3 linked regions of the Rhinolophus ferrumequinum genome follow. The protein of the gene in region 3 interacts with the protein of the main gene of each other region in a pairwise test. Links are inferred from orthologs where the notes say so. Each region holds a gene or a part of one and is shown on either strand. Other genes may lie near its edges. The genes, in order: RAD54B, OBI1 and TCEANC.

The links.
Region 1: the proteins of TCEANC (region 3) and RAD54B interact in a two-hybrid assay, tested with the Homo sapiens proteins (2 studies listed by BioGRID). The two-hybrid records come from large-scale screens. The link is inferred for Rhinolophus ferrumequinum from reciprocal best matches to the Homo sapiens genes TCEANC and RAD54B.
Region 2: the proteins of TCEANC (region 3) and OBI1 interact in binary tests that used the Homo sapiens proteins (3 or more experiments, as listed by UniProt). The two-hybrid records come from large-scale screens. The link is inferred for Rhinolophus ferrumequinum from reciprocal best matches to the Homo sapiens genes TCEANC and OBI1.

The regions. Positions count from the first base shown.
Region 1 is NC_046297.1:35,818,445-35,822,195, forward strand, and holds the start of RAD54B (DNA repair and recombination protein RAD54B), read right to left. Parts: upstream 2,209-3,751; 5' UTR 2,085-2,208; intron 1-2,084. UniProt on the Homo sapiens protein: Involved in DNA repair and mitotic recombination. May play an active role in recombination processes in concert with other members of the RAD52 epistasis group.
Region 2 is NC_046287.1:29,221,971-29,225,721, reverse strand, and holds the start of OBI1 (ORC ubiquitin ligase 1), read left to right. Parts: upstream 1-1,313; 5' UTR 1,314-1,394; coding exon 1,395-1,466; intron 1,467-3,751. UniProt on the Homo sapiens protein: E3 ubiquitin ligase essential for DNA replication origin activation during S phase.
Region 3 is NC_046284.1:116,520,270-116,524,020, reverse strand, and holds the start of TCEANC (transcription elongation factor A N-terminal and central domain-containing protein), read left to right. Parts: upstream 1-1,231; 5' UTR 1,232-1,319; intron 1,320-1,336; exon of another isoform or gene 1,337-1,761; intron 1,762-3,296; 5' UTR 3,297-3,373; coding exon 3,374-3,422; intron 3,423-3,751.

The sequences.
Region 1 (3,751 bases), on a different chromosome or scaffold from region 3:
TACAGAATTGCACACCTGAAATCTATGTAATTTTACTAACAATTGTCACCCCAATAAATTTAAAAAATAAATTAATTAATTTAAAAAAAATGGTTTGTGACTGTTTACTTTAGGAGTAGTATTTACCAATACCAGTGGTCAATACAGATTCTGTCCAAACAAGTCATACCAAAATGACCTCATTAACTCATTTTCCTTTTTATAATAGGTCGACAGAATATTACGCGTCCCTAGATACACAACTGACACAAATTTGAAACTGACACAAGCTAACTGCAAGAAGATGATTTAAAAACACAAATGTTAGGCCCTGAACTTAGATTCACTTAATGGTCAAATGAAATAGAACAATGGGAAGTTCAGATTCAAAACTCAAGGCTTTTAGATGACAATAGCTCAACTGAAATAAAAAGATAACGATGAGCCTACTACAAGTAATGAATTCTAGATATCACTAATAAAAATGACATCCACACCATGAAATATATTAGGTTTATTCTTTGCATTAGTCAGACTACCCTGTAAAACTGAAAATTCTGACCAACAGCTTTTTAAAAGGAAAACTAGAAAAACACAGTAACTAGAAATTTGGAGCAAGCTATTTAAACTCTGGATATCAACTTCTTTGTTTGTAAAATAGGAGACTATGGACTAGATAGTAAAATTCTGTTCATCTTCACTTTCAACCCCTGAAACTTTCTAGATCTAATACATGAGTTCTAATTTTTAAGCCCTATCTGTAAACTAATAAAAAAAATAATGAATTGAGAATGTAGGCAAGTGAAAAGCAGCACAGAATGGTGGTTCAGAAAACAGACTCTGGAGCCAGCCTAAGTAGGCTTGAATTCTAGCTCTTCCATTTACATATGACCTTAGGCATCCATCAAGCCATCTAATTTGTTGATGCATTCAAAGTAAACTGCAGACATCAGTATATTTCCCCCCTAAATACTTCAGCATTCTTATCACCTCTTAAGTTAGTGCTATTTGAGCCTTTTCCCAGGCCATATAAATAATGCCCCCATTTGTCAGCCTTGTTGTGATGCTACAACTTCTGAGATGACTCCAACATCCTACCTGCTTCTGTCCTCCCAAATAAAATGGCAAGTCCAGGCTGACAGCTGCAACATACCAGAGGGCCTAAATTATGTGGCAATGTAGTGTAATAATTAAGAACACAAATTTGGAGGTAAACACCTGAATATATATCTGGACTGACACTTCCTAGTGTGTGATCTTGCACAGCTTACTTAACCTCTTTGTGCACCCATTTCCTCATCTACAAAATGGGGTACAATAATCATAATTACTCATAGGACTACTGGAGTAAATGAAATACTTAAGCACTTAGAACAAAGCTTACACATAGTAAGCACTCAATGTTATCTGGAATATTATTACACGTAATTATTATTGGCTGTTTAACACACAAGGTCCTATGAAAGTATAGACGATGAAGGTCCCTGAAGGGGAGATAGAAGTATGTAGTTCAACAAAGGGGATCACGACCTGAATCTAAGGATTCGTTTGTGCTTTGAAGGGGGAGGGGGTGCGACCATCAAACCTCCGGGATGCAAGAATGTAAATAACGACCAAGAACCAGCAACAAACCTCCCCCCCCCCCCCGTTTCTATTTTTTGCCTTTCCATCGACATTAGGTGGTAGTTATTTCACTTCGTGGCTTAAGTTGTTCCTTTTACTTTGTGGCCCCACTAAACTGGCCTACAAAAATCTGTTGTTAATTAATTAATACCATGCAGGAAAGTGTATGTAGATTAGTTCTGGGGTAAAGAAACGCAAGCGCCACAGGAGCAGTGCAGGCGGACCATAGAGCTGGTGCAGAGGCAACCACTGCTGGGAGTCACTCTCCCGCCACCACAAGAAACGCAAACCCACCGCCCGTTCCTCTGCCACCAACCACATCAGCAGCGAGGGGGCCATTCTCACTTCATACCGGCTCAGGACCCGCAGGAGGCGGCAACAGCCGCTCCGCCGCTCCTGTCCCTCCACCCTCAGAGCCCTGCTCTTGCTTGACTCTCTACCCGCTTTATCCCGCACGAGACTACAGGCTGTCGCAGCCTCACCTGAAGGTTGTCTTCCAGGGACGTACCTACAAGGATCCGAAAGAAGCAAGCCCCAGGCAAGAAAAATCAGGGGACTGCAGCACGTCCCTCACCGCCGCAGTAGCTCAAGGCTCCCGCCTTCGCGTGACCAATCGTGGAAGAGCCAGCTGCGCGCGCACTATCTCCCGCCCCCTGCTCCGCAGCGCCTTTTCCGCCCCGGACTCTGATTGGACTACATTACCACGCATGTCCCTTTACATTCCTCTTTTTGTTTGGATTTTCCCCCAACTACACTGTACTTTACATACCAGTGACTGTTTGATAATTATCGATTTGTACTTCTTAAGCCTTTCACCTTTGTCACCCAGCCCCGCCAAACCTCCTTCTTCTGCCAATCATCAGTTTGTTCCCTGGTGTATGAGTCTGTTTCTAGTTTGTTTATTTTGTTCTGTAGAGCCCACATATAAGGAAAATCATATGGTATTTGTCTTTCTCTTTGACTTATTTCACTTAGCATAGTACCTTCTAGTGCATTTCTCTTTAAGTGCCTCCAAGTTTGCTTCAGGTTTATGGTTCAATTAAAAAAATACTTATTTGATGCCTATGTCAGACTTGATGGAGATGCTGAGTCTGCACCAACAACAGACCTCATTTCAGAACAGATGACACATACTTCTTAAATCTGAGACATCTATTTACATGGATATATTCATGCAGTTTGATGGTCTGCATAGCAGTATTTGCTTGGAAAAAAAGCATATATATAAACTGAATTTTACCATAAAGCTCTTAAATCGTGCTGCATTTTAGTAATGAAGTGACTTCACCAACTTTGTTAAAATAACACATCCCTTTAAACTACCTGACCCAAATAGGCAAACTGATGTTTTTATAAGAGGCCGAACACCTTTAATATGGTGACAAGGTAGAAATATATAGGTCACTGGCCTTTTAATATAAAAGTATTTTCAAATCAGGCCACCATCTGTAACAGCTAGAAAAATATTCCAGTTTGAACAAAACACTTGAAAATGTGTAAATAGAATAATTTTCATCATCTAGACTGATTTTCAAAAGCCATTAACTCTAAAGATATGTGATGAATTAGGGAGTATTAAATTTTACCAAATTGTGATCGAGTATCTATCATTGTTTATATACTAAATTGCTATAATTTTTTTAACTTTATTTTGGCAAAAGTAATGTTTCAAATAAAGATGTTATTAGTTATATAACAGCATAAGTTTCCGTGTTCATGTTGAAAAAGTTAGGGCTAATTTTCTACAATAAAGATAAGGACAAACTGCAAAATTATGACTGATGAGTATAATTGAAAAGAAATACAATCCTAGTTATAACAAATAAAATACTTTTTTTGAAACAGTAAACTTCAAGAGAGTTATTTATATTTTATAGGAATTGTCTATGAGGGGGAGAAATCAACCTCACTTTTTATTCTAATAAAAATTGTTATGAACTATCTTACTTACTTGATTATTTTATGATATTAAAGATGGGCTAGAAAATGTCTGTCATTTTAGTCAGAAAGAATACAACTATTTCTCAATGCTAATTTATTACATAAATATATGATTTGTAACTATCTGCGTTTCAATCACAAAATCTACAAGTGAGTTCAAATGTCTTCATTAAATCCGTAACTACTGAGAGCCAACTATATGCCAATC
Region 2 (3,751 bases), on a different chromosome or scaffold from region 3:
AATTTTGAAAAAAGTGACCATTAAAGAATCAATATGACTATTTTGCTCAGTACTCCAATTCCAAGCACACGATAGTCTCCAATTCCTAGGAAATGAACTTATTGAGCTATGTGGAAGAATTCTTACTATCCCCGGTGAGGACTTGGGCTCCTTCAAGTGAACTACTAGATGCTCCAATCTTACTGTCTGTTCCTTTTATAGACATGGTAGTAAGCATACATTGACCTCATTAATACACACACGTTTTATCAAGGAGGGAGCTAAAAAGCAGAGAGGTTAAACAAATTGTCTGAAGCCCGGAGAGCCAGAAAATTGTTCCAACAGGGATTTCTACTCTCACAGTCCAGGTGCAGACCCTATTTCTTTTAACCAGGAGGCTGCTTCTGTGATAATGCTGCCTCTTCTTCCAGAAAGATTAGTAAAATTAGTTCCGTTGGTTTTGTTTCTAAATCTCCCTACTCCTAGATTGTATTTGTTTGCATAAATTGATCACACTGGCTCTTCCTCACTTAAAAGTTGCAGTTGAATTCCTAATCTGTTATATTCAAGATTCACTGAGGAACTTTTATTAGAGTTTTCCTTTTTCATTGGTAGGACATGGGAACTTACAACCTCACATATTCCCCTTCGGAGTTCAGCAGCACAGTGGTACATTTCATAACCAACCTTGCACCTTATGAAATAAGGGCTTTAAACTCGAGTGCTTTCGGGGCGTGTGGAAGACTCACTATTTGCAGCTTCCTCACCTGTGGGTGTTAATCAGTCTGTGGTTCCGTCCCTTAAATCTCATCGTGGATGGAAAACCACAGACGGGCCAACAGTGAAAGCGTGTCTTCAGGGGAAGCTGCGATGAGTGTGTCCACATCGTCTGCTGAACAGATAAAGGGGGACCATCACAGTGTGTTGTTTTTAATGACATAACATCACTGAAGGCTACAAAGAGAGCTGAGAGTGGCCACGTTGTTTTGAAAAATTAAAATGTAGAGATCGTCTTTTCTCTTCCTGTTTTGACGGCACTGTGTGTCTGCAGAGTGTGTAGGGAGAGACTCGGGAATTTAAAACTCAGCTTTCCTTCTCTTCCTCTCCCCTCACCACTACGACGCTTCCATTTAAAGTTTGAAGATGCTCCATAGCTGTAGTAAACCGCCTTCCCTTTCACTCTCAGGAGCCTTGCAGCTCCCGAACAGCAGAAAGTTTTTTTTTTGGTTTTTCTTTAATGAAAAGAATGCAGAGCGGGCGAGCCCTGGGCGACCGCGCGCCCCGAAAGCGCGTTTCCGCGTCGGGCCCGGAGGCCGTGGCCCCGCCGGGTTGCCGTAGCCGCCCTCGCGCGCCCCCGTCGCAGCCGGATCGGCCGGCGGCGGGACTTCCGTGTTGGCGGGCTTCTGAACGCTGCCATGGCTCAGGCGGTGCAGAACGTTACATTGTCGCTCACTCTGCCCATCACGTGCCACATTTGCCTGGGGAAGGTAATGGGCGACGCCGGGCGCGGCTGCGAAGCGGGATCGGGTCGGAAGGAGCTCGCCGGAGCCGAGGGCGGGCTCGGGGTGGAGCGGGGACGCGGCGTGCGGCGCGGAGACGGCGAAGACGCCGCACCGGTGTTCTCCCCGGGCGACGGGAGGCCGCGTCCTGGGCGGGGGCTGCAGGCAGCGCGCCGGGAGGAGTGGGCTCCTCGGTGCGCCTCTCGGAGGAGGATGACAGCGGCCTGGGGGTTGCAGGGAGGCTGCCGAGGCGGCTCTGCCACGTCCAGCGCCCCCGCTCCCGCCGGCCGCGCCAGCCGGCCAGCGCCGACCTCCGAGGTGGCCTCGTCAGACACGAATCGCGACGATATTTTACGCCTCTGGCGCAACCCCGTCTGGCATGTAGTGAAGCCCATGAAAGCACGTTTCCTAGGGACCTCACCGAAGGTTCTTTCGTCCCCTACACAAGTAGGAGGGTCATGGTATTGGGCCTGCAGTGCTAGTCAGGGAATCTTCCACGTCCCAGATCCTCCTTTTTGCTTCACCCGACCTTGAATGGCCTTTGCTCCGGGTGCAGAATTTGAAAAGTAAATAGAACGTGTCCCTGAGTGGTGGTTAGCATGAGAGGTGTGGTCTTGAATTCCAAGAACGGATGAGTCACGCGATGGAATACCCTCTCTTTGTGATGCAAGAGGTGCCTAAAATGGGTGTGAAACAAGGTGGAGAAAGTTTTGAATTAGAAATGGGAGTTTGGAGTGTTGTGTTGCATTCCTCTCTCCTTTCCGTTGGTGCCTCCCATTCGGTTTTCAAAAGAGCATTTCTTTACCATGTGCATCAAGAATGGAGAAGATACTGTGAACAACCAGATTTTTTTTTCCACTCTCAATTTTTCTTACGTTTGGGGTGTCAGTGTGTTCCCCTCCCCACCCCCCAATTGCAGACTGAACCTACAGCCGCAGGCTTAGCCTTGAGAAATACAAACTTCATAGAGCAAATGTTTGAGTGCCAGCCAATACGATCAACTGCCTTTGGTGTTTGGGGTTCTGTGTGAATTTGCTAAGTTCAAGAAGTAGTAGAAAGTCAGGCATGAAAGCAACTAATAACGCTTGATACCAATCAGAATGAAACGCCAACAAAATGTGCTGTGAGAGCATATAGGGAATGGCTTGATCAATTCTGACTGGAGAGATCAAGGAGGGTCTGGCGGAGGGTGGTATTTGAGCTGGCATTTGCTACCACTGCCTGTGTACATGGCTGGGAGCAGGAGGAGATGACATATCTATTTGCTACCATCTACATTTGGCCCTTGCCGTGAGTGCCCACACGTATGTGTTCAATTCTGAGTGCATTTCCTAAAGGCTGATAAAAATATCCTTGAGAAATAAGTTTCATTCGGTCTTAGTTGTGTACCTTATATCTAGTTTCCATTAGTTAATAGTTGTGTTGCCTTTTTCAGTTGTGTTGAAAATGTGTTCTCTCTGGTTGATTTTCCATACCTATGCTTTTTGTGTTTAACAAGAAAATGATACCTAATAGAATATAGTGATTTGCAGATTACAGAATGCTTTTGTATGCATTTCATTATTCTTTCACTCCTGTCACCAGTGCTATAAGATAGAGGGGGCTGATTTCCCCATTTTTTGAATAAGAAGACAGACTTAGTTGCCGCCATTTGAACCTCTATTGCTACCATTGTCCTGAGTAGATTACTTAAAAACTCACTTGAGCTCATCCTTGACAGCAGACCCTTTTGGGGTCCTATTTTTTCCTTCCTATATTAGTGAGCTGTATTGTAAAATTAAATATGATAATAAAAGATGAACAAATTGTAAACAGGCATTTTTATCTGTCTACTATGAAGGCAGGAAGGTGTTGTGGTTGAGGGCCGGCCTGATTTCTGTGTTCGTACTGCATGAATTCTAATCTAGGCTCTTTCACCTGTTAGTTGTATGACCTTACGTAGGACAAGTTACTGATCTCTCAGAGCATTTTCCTTATCCATAAAATGGGAATGGCAATAGTATCAATACCCATCCTTGTGTTTGGAGGAAGATTAAATGAAGTAATTCGTATGTAGTGCTTCGCATAAAGTCTGGCACATAACAATATTCAATAAATGTTAACCTTTACTATGGGCACTGAGGCAGGCCCTCCAACTGAGGAAATCAGCCTCTTCTAGTAACTGTTCTTCCCATTTGCTTTGTGAGGCCATTGCACTGACTGGATGACTTGCATTCCTGACAGAGTGGGAGACCTGTTTTGTCTGGGAATTACCACAGTACAACCCGGGCTTC
Region 3 (3,751 bases):
GTATCTATCTTTGGTGGGAGGACGTTTTACCGCTCCTTCCTCCTCCTGCCCTCACCTGAGAGAGACCAGAAAATAGTGGAGGCAGTGCGGAAAGGTTGCAATAAGGTCGGTGAAGGAATTGATCCATGTCTTTCCCCTTTGCTGTCCCAGAGTTACAGACCACACCTGAGCTGAGGAAAGGTCGGAGCTTTTAATTGGATAATTGAATTTTTTATATTAGATTAGAATGGACTTTTTAACAACCTAAAAATAAGATTATTTCTTTATACCTGAGAGTCATTGGAAAAGCTGTGGGATTTACTTAAGCCTCAAGCTCCAGCCCTGGAGGAACCAATGGGCAGGGGAGAGAGCCCACAGAGGTTGTTTCAAGGCAGTAGTGAGAAAAAAAATAAGAGTCTCTTCGTACGTGCACCCTACGGAGCCCAGCCTGTTCCATAGATTTATACGTGTTGCACTGTTCTGTGATTCAAACAATCTTATTGCAATAGCCTTTTAAAACTAAAATCTCTTAGGCTATATCCAGGATGGACCGGCAGTATTTCAACAGTTTTTATAACTGAGTCGCTGCTGGGTTTTGTTTACTTTTATTTTTTACTAATTACAAATGTAACCTTGGTCTGTCTTCCCTCCTTCTAGGTAAGGTTTATTACATTGCTCAATCATAGAATCACCTGCTTCCTGACAGCATTCAATCCAGAGTAAAGCCCTGCTTCCTTGAACCTTCCCCCAAGTTACCTTATAGGAGGGGATCAGCAAAGAAGGCTGCCACATATTCTAGTTCTACCATCACTTTGGTTTTATTGAACCCTTGCACGGAAAGATGTGTATAGATGATTAGCGCGGGATGCACATGGCTACTTCATGAATGTCTACTACTTTCGTATCAAACTGATGCATGCTAGGGGTGCAGTAAATACTGTTGGATTAATTACTGCGTTAAATAAATAATTCATATTTTTGTCCAAAGTTTTGTCAACATTTAGCTGAGCACTGTCTTGACTGGAAGCAAAAAGGATAGGCTACAGAGTAGTTCAACAAATCTTGCTGCCCAAAAACGTTAGCCGGGCTAGTTTTTTTCAACTCATGCCGAGATGCTGGACTATACGGCCTCCGCCACCCAGCCACGGAGAGGCGGGCCCACGGGCGCTGACCCTCTGCGCAGGCGCCATCTCCACTGCACGCACGCGCTGGATCCAGGCTGCGTTCTTTGGTCTGCGGGCTTGGATTGGTTGAGCCGCCGTGGTCCCGCCCTGGGAACCGGAAGTTCCCTCAGGGCGAGGGGGTCAGTGAGGGCACGTAGGCGTCGCCTGCGCTTCTCGGTGAGACACACTGCGGGTTGGCTGGGGTCTCTGTCCACCGTTGCTTGGGGAAACCCACCCCTGCTTGGGGAGGCTCTCGGTGTTACCTGGGCCGGGTAGGCCCGAACGTGCCCTCGTCTCCTCCTCTCCAGCGGAGGTCGCGGCGTGGGCAGATTGCTCCGTGCCGCCGCTGCTTCTGGGCTGGGGGCCAGACTCACCCGGGGACGGTTTGCCTCCGGCTTTGCTTGTCGCACCACACCCATTGGAACCCGAACCCGAACCCGGACCAGAGCGGGCCCTTAGACTGCTCCCTCGCACTCGCTGCACCTTTGCTAGGGATCATCCTGACGTGAGAGGACCCCAGCGCAGTATTGAGTGGCTGTTCAGGAACTGCAACGCCCCTACCAACATTTGGCATCATTTCTCTCCATAGACGAGGGGCTCCCTGTGTAACTGGAGAGGTGTATGTGTTACGGCTGGAAACTTAAATTTTCTCTCTAGATCTTAGATCTAAAGGCCTAAACAGATCTAGGTTCCAGCTGATTTGTTAGCAGCCTTTGGAAATTTTTCTTTGATCTTTCCCCTTTAGGGTTTAGGCCAGGTGTATGTACCTTGCCCATACTGTAGTATTAGTTAATATTTACAAGCTTTTAACGTGCATTTGGTCCACGGATATTTATGGCCCACTCTTGCTGGTGCTGTGTAAACTCTATTTTTGATACGTATTCAGAAGGTAGGGGTATAGGTATGTAAGCATCTATATTCGCATATGCACTAGAACTGTGTTGTCCAATATGGTAGCCACTAGCTACCTAAGTGTTGAGCACTTGAAATTGTGCCCAGTCCGAATTGAGTTCTGCAGTAAGTGTAAACAGCGAATTTTGGAGAATCAGTATGAAAAAGAATATATGTCAGTAATTCGTTTATATTGATAGCATCTTAAAATGGCAGTATTTCGGATACACTGGGTTAGATAAAATATTAATTTCACCTGTTTGTTTTTTAACATGGCTACTAGACAGTTTTAAATTCTGTCAGTGGCTTGCATTACATTGCTATTGAACAAAGCATTGCTCTAGAAAGGAATCAGCAAACACTGGCCTGCAGCCGAATCCAGCCTGCCTGTCTTTGAAAAAAATAATTATTGGAACAAAGCCATACCCATTCATTGATGTATTGTCTATGGCTGTTGTTCTTCCATAAGAGCCTGGAGTTGGGTAGTCCATACAGAGATTTGATGGACTGCAAAGTCTGAAATATTTACTATCTGGCCTTTTACAGAAAAAGTTTGCTAATCCCCTGTTCCAGAACAATGCCTGCTGTGGTAAATATATGTAAGCCTTTTCATTGTAGTCCTGCGTAATTGTCAGTCAGGCTTACAGTGTAACAGGCATACACTTCTAAGGACTTCATAAGGACTATCTCGTCTAATTTTCATATTAATCCTAGGATGTTGGATTTCCCCCATTTTGTAGATGAGGAAATTGAGGCACAAAATGGTCATGAAATTTACCCAATGTTCTCAATACTCCTTACTTCTGGGAACTGTATCTTCTTGACCTTCCTTATTCACAAATGGCTTGACGCCTGGAACTCACTTGATTAGTCCACAGTAGGCACCATGCTCTCTTTTTGTTTGTTTGTTTTTGAACTAGAATTTTTTAAATGACCTTTTAACTAGAATTGAGATGAGGTTGGTCTCGTGGAAGAAGCTGAGGGGCGCTGAGCTTAGGTGCAATGGGTACAAGCAAGGTGATCTGTAGTGACCAGAATGAAGCTCACAAGCAGAGAGGAGAGCATCCTGGGTGCTGTTTAGTCATTTAACAAAAAACATTTGTTCAGTAATAGTGAGCACTGGCCAGGTGTTTGCCAGGTGTGTATCAGTGAATGGAACAAATGTCATTCTTAGGGTCTTGTGGGGAAGACAGACAATTAAAAAAAAATTAACATGGTACGGACCATATAAAACAATGTGCAAATACTTGATGTTTTTTACAGGTTTCGTCATCCGTAAGTTGGAGATAAGTTGTACACCTGTCTCGGTTCTTGTGAGGATTGAGATGACCTGAGTGTGTATGGCACGGAGTTGCTCAATAAATGTACATTGTCTTCCACTGTTAAGAGGTAAGTGAGGGAATGAACATGAGGAATTGGGGGCATCGTGTCATTTTAAATATGACAGTCACCAGTTGTTATTTGTAGGAAGGCTCTCAGGTGAGTTGGGCACAGTACATGTTTTTCACATTTCCTGATTTAATGTCACTCATCTAGCAAAACCCGAAGTCAGGTTCTGTGTGTTCCGTCTAGGAGCAGGGTGGGAGCTGTCCTTGGGCTGAGTTACAGCGTGACTGTTACTGTTACAGCATAACTGGGACGGGCCTGCTGCAGGAAGGGAGTTGTGCCTCTCCAGTGGTGGCAGGCCTGGTTTAAATCAGAATCACCTGGAGAACTGA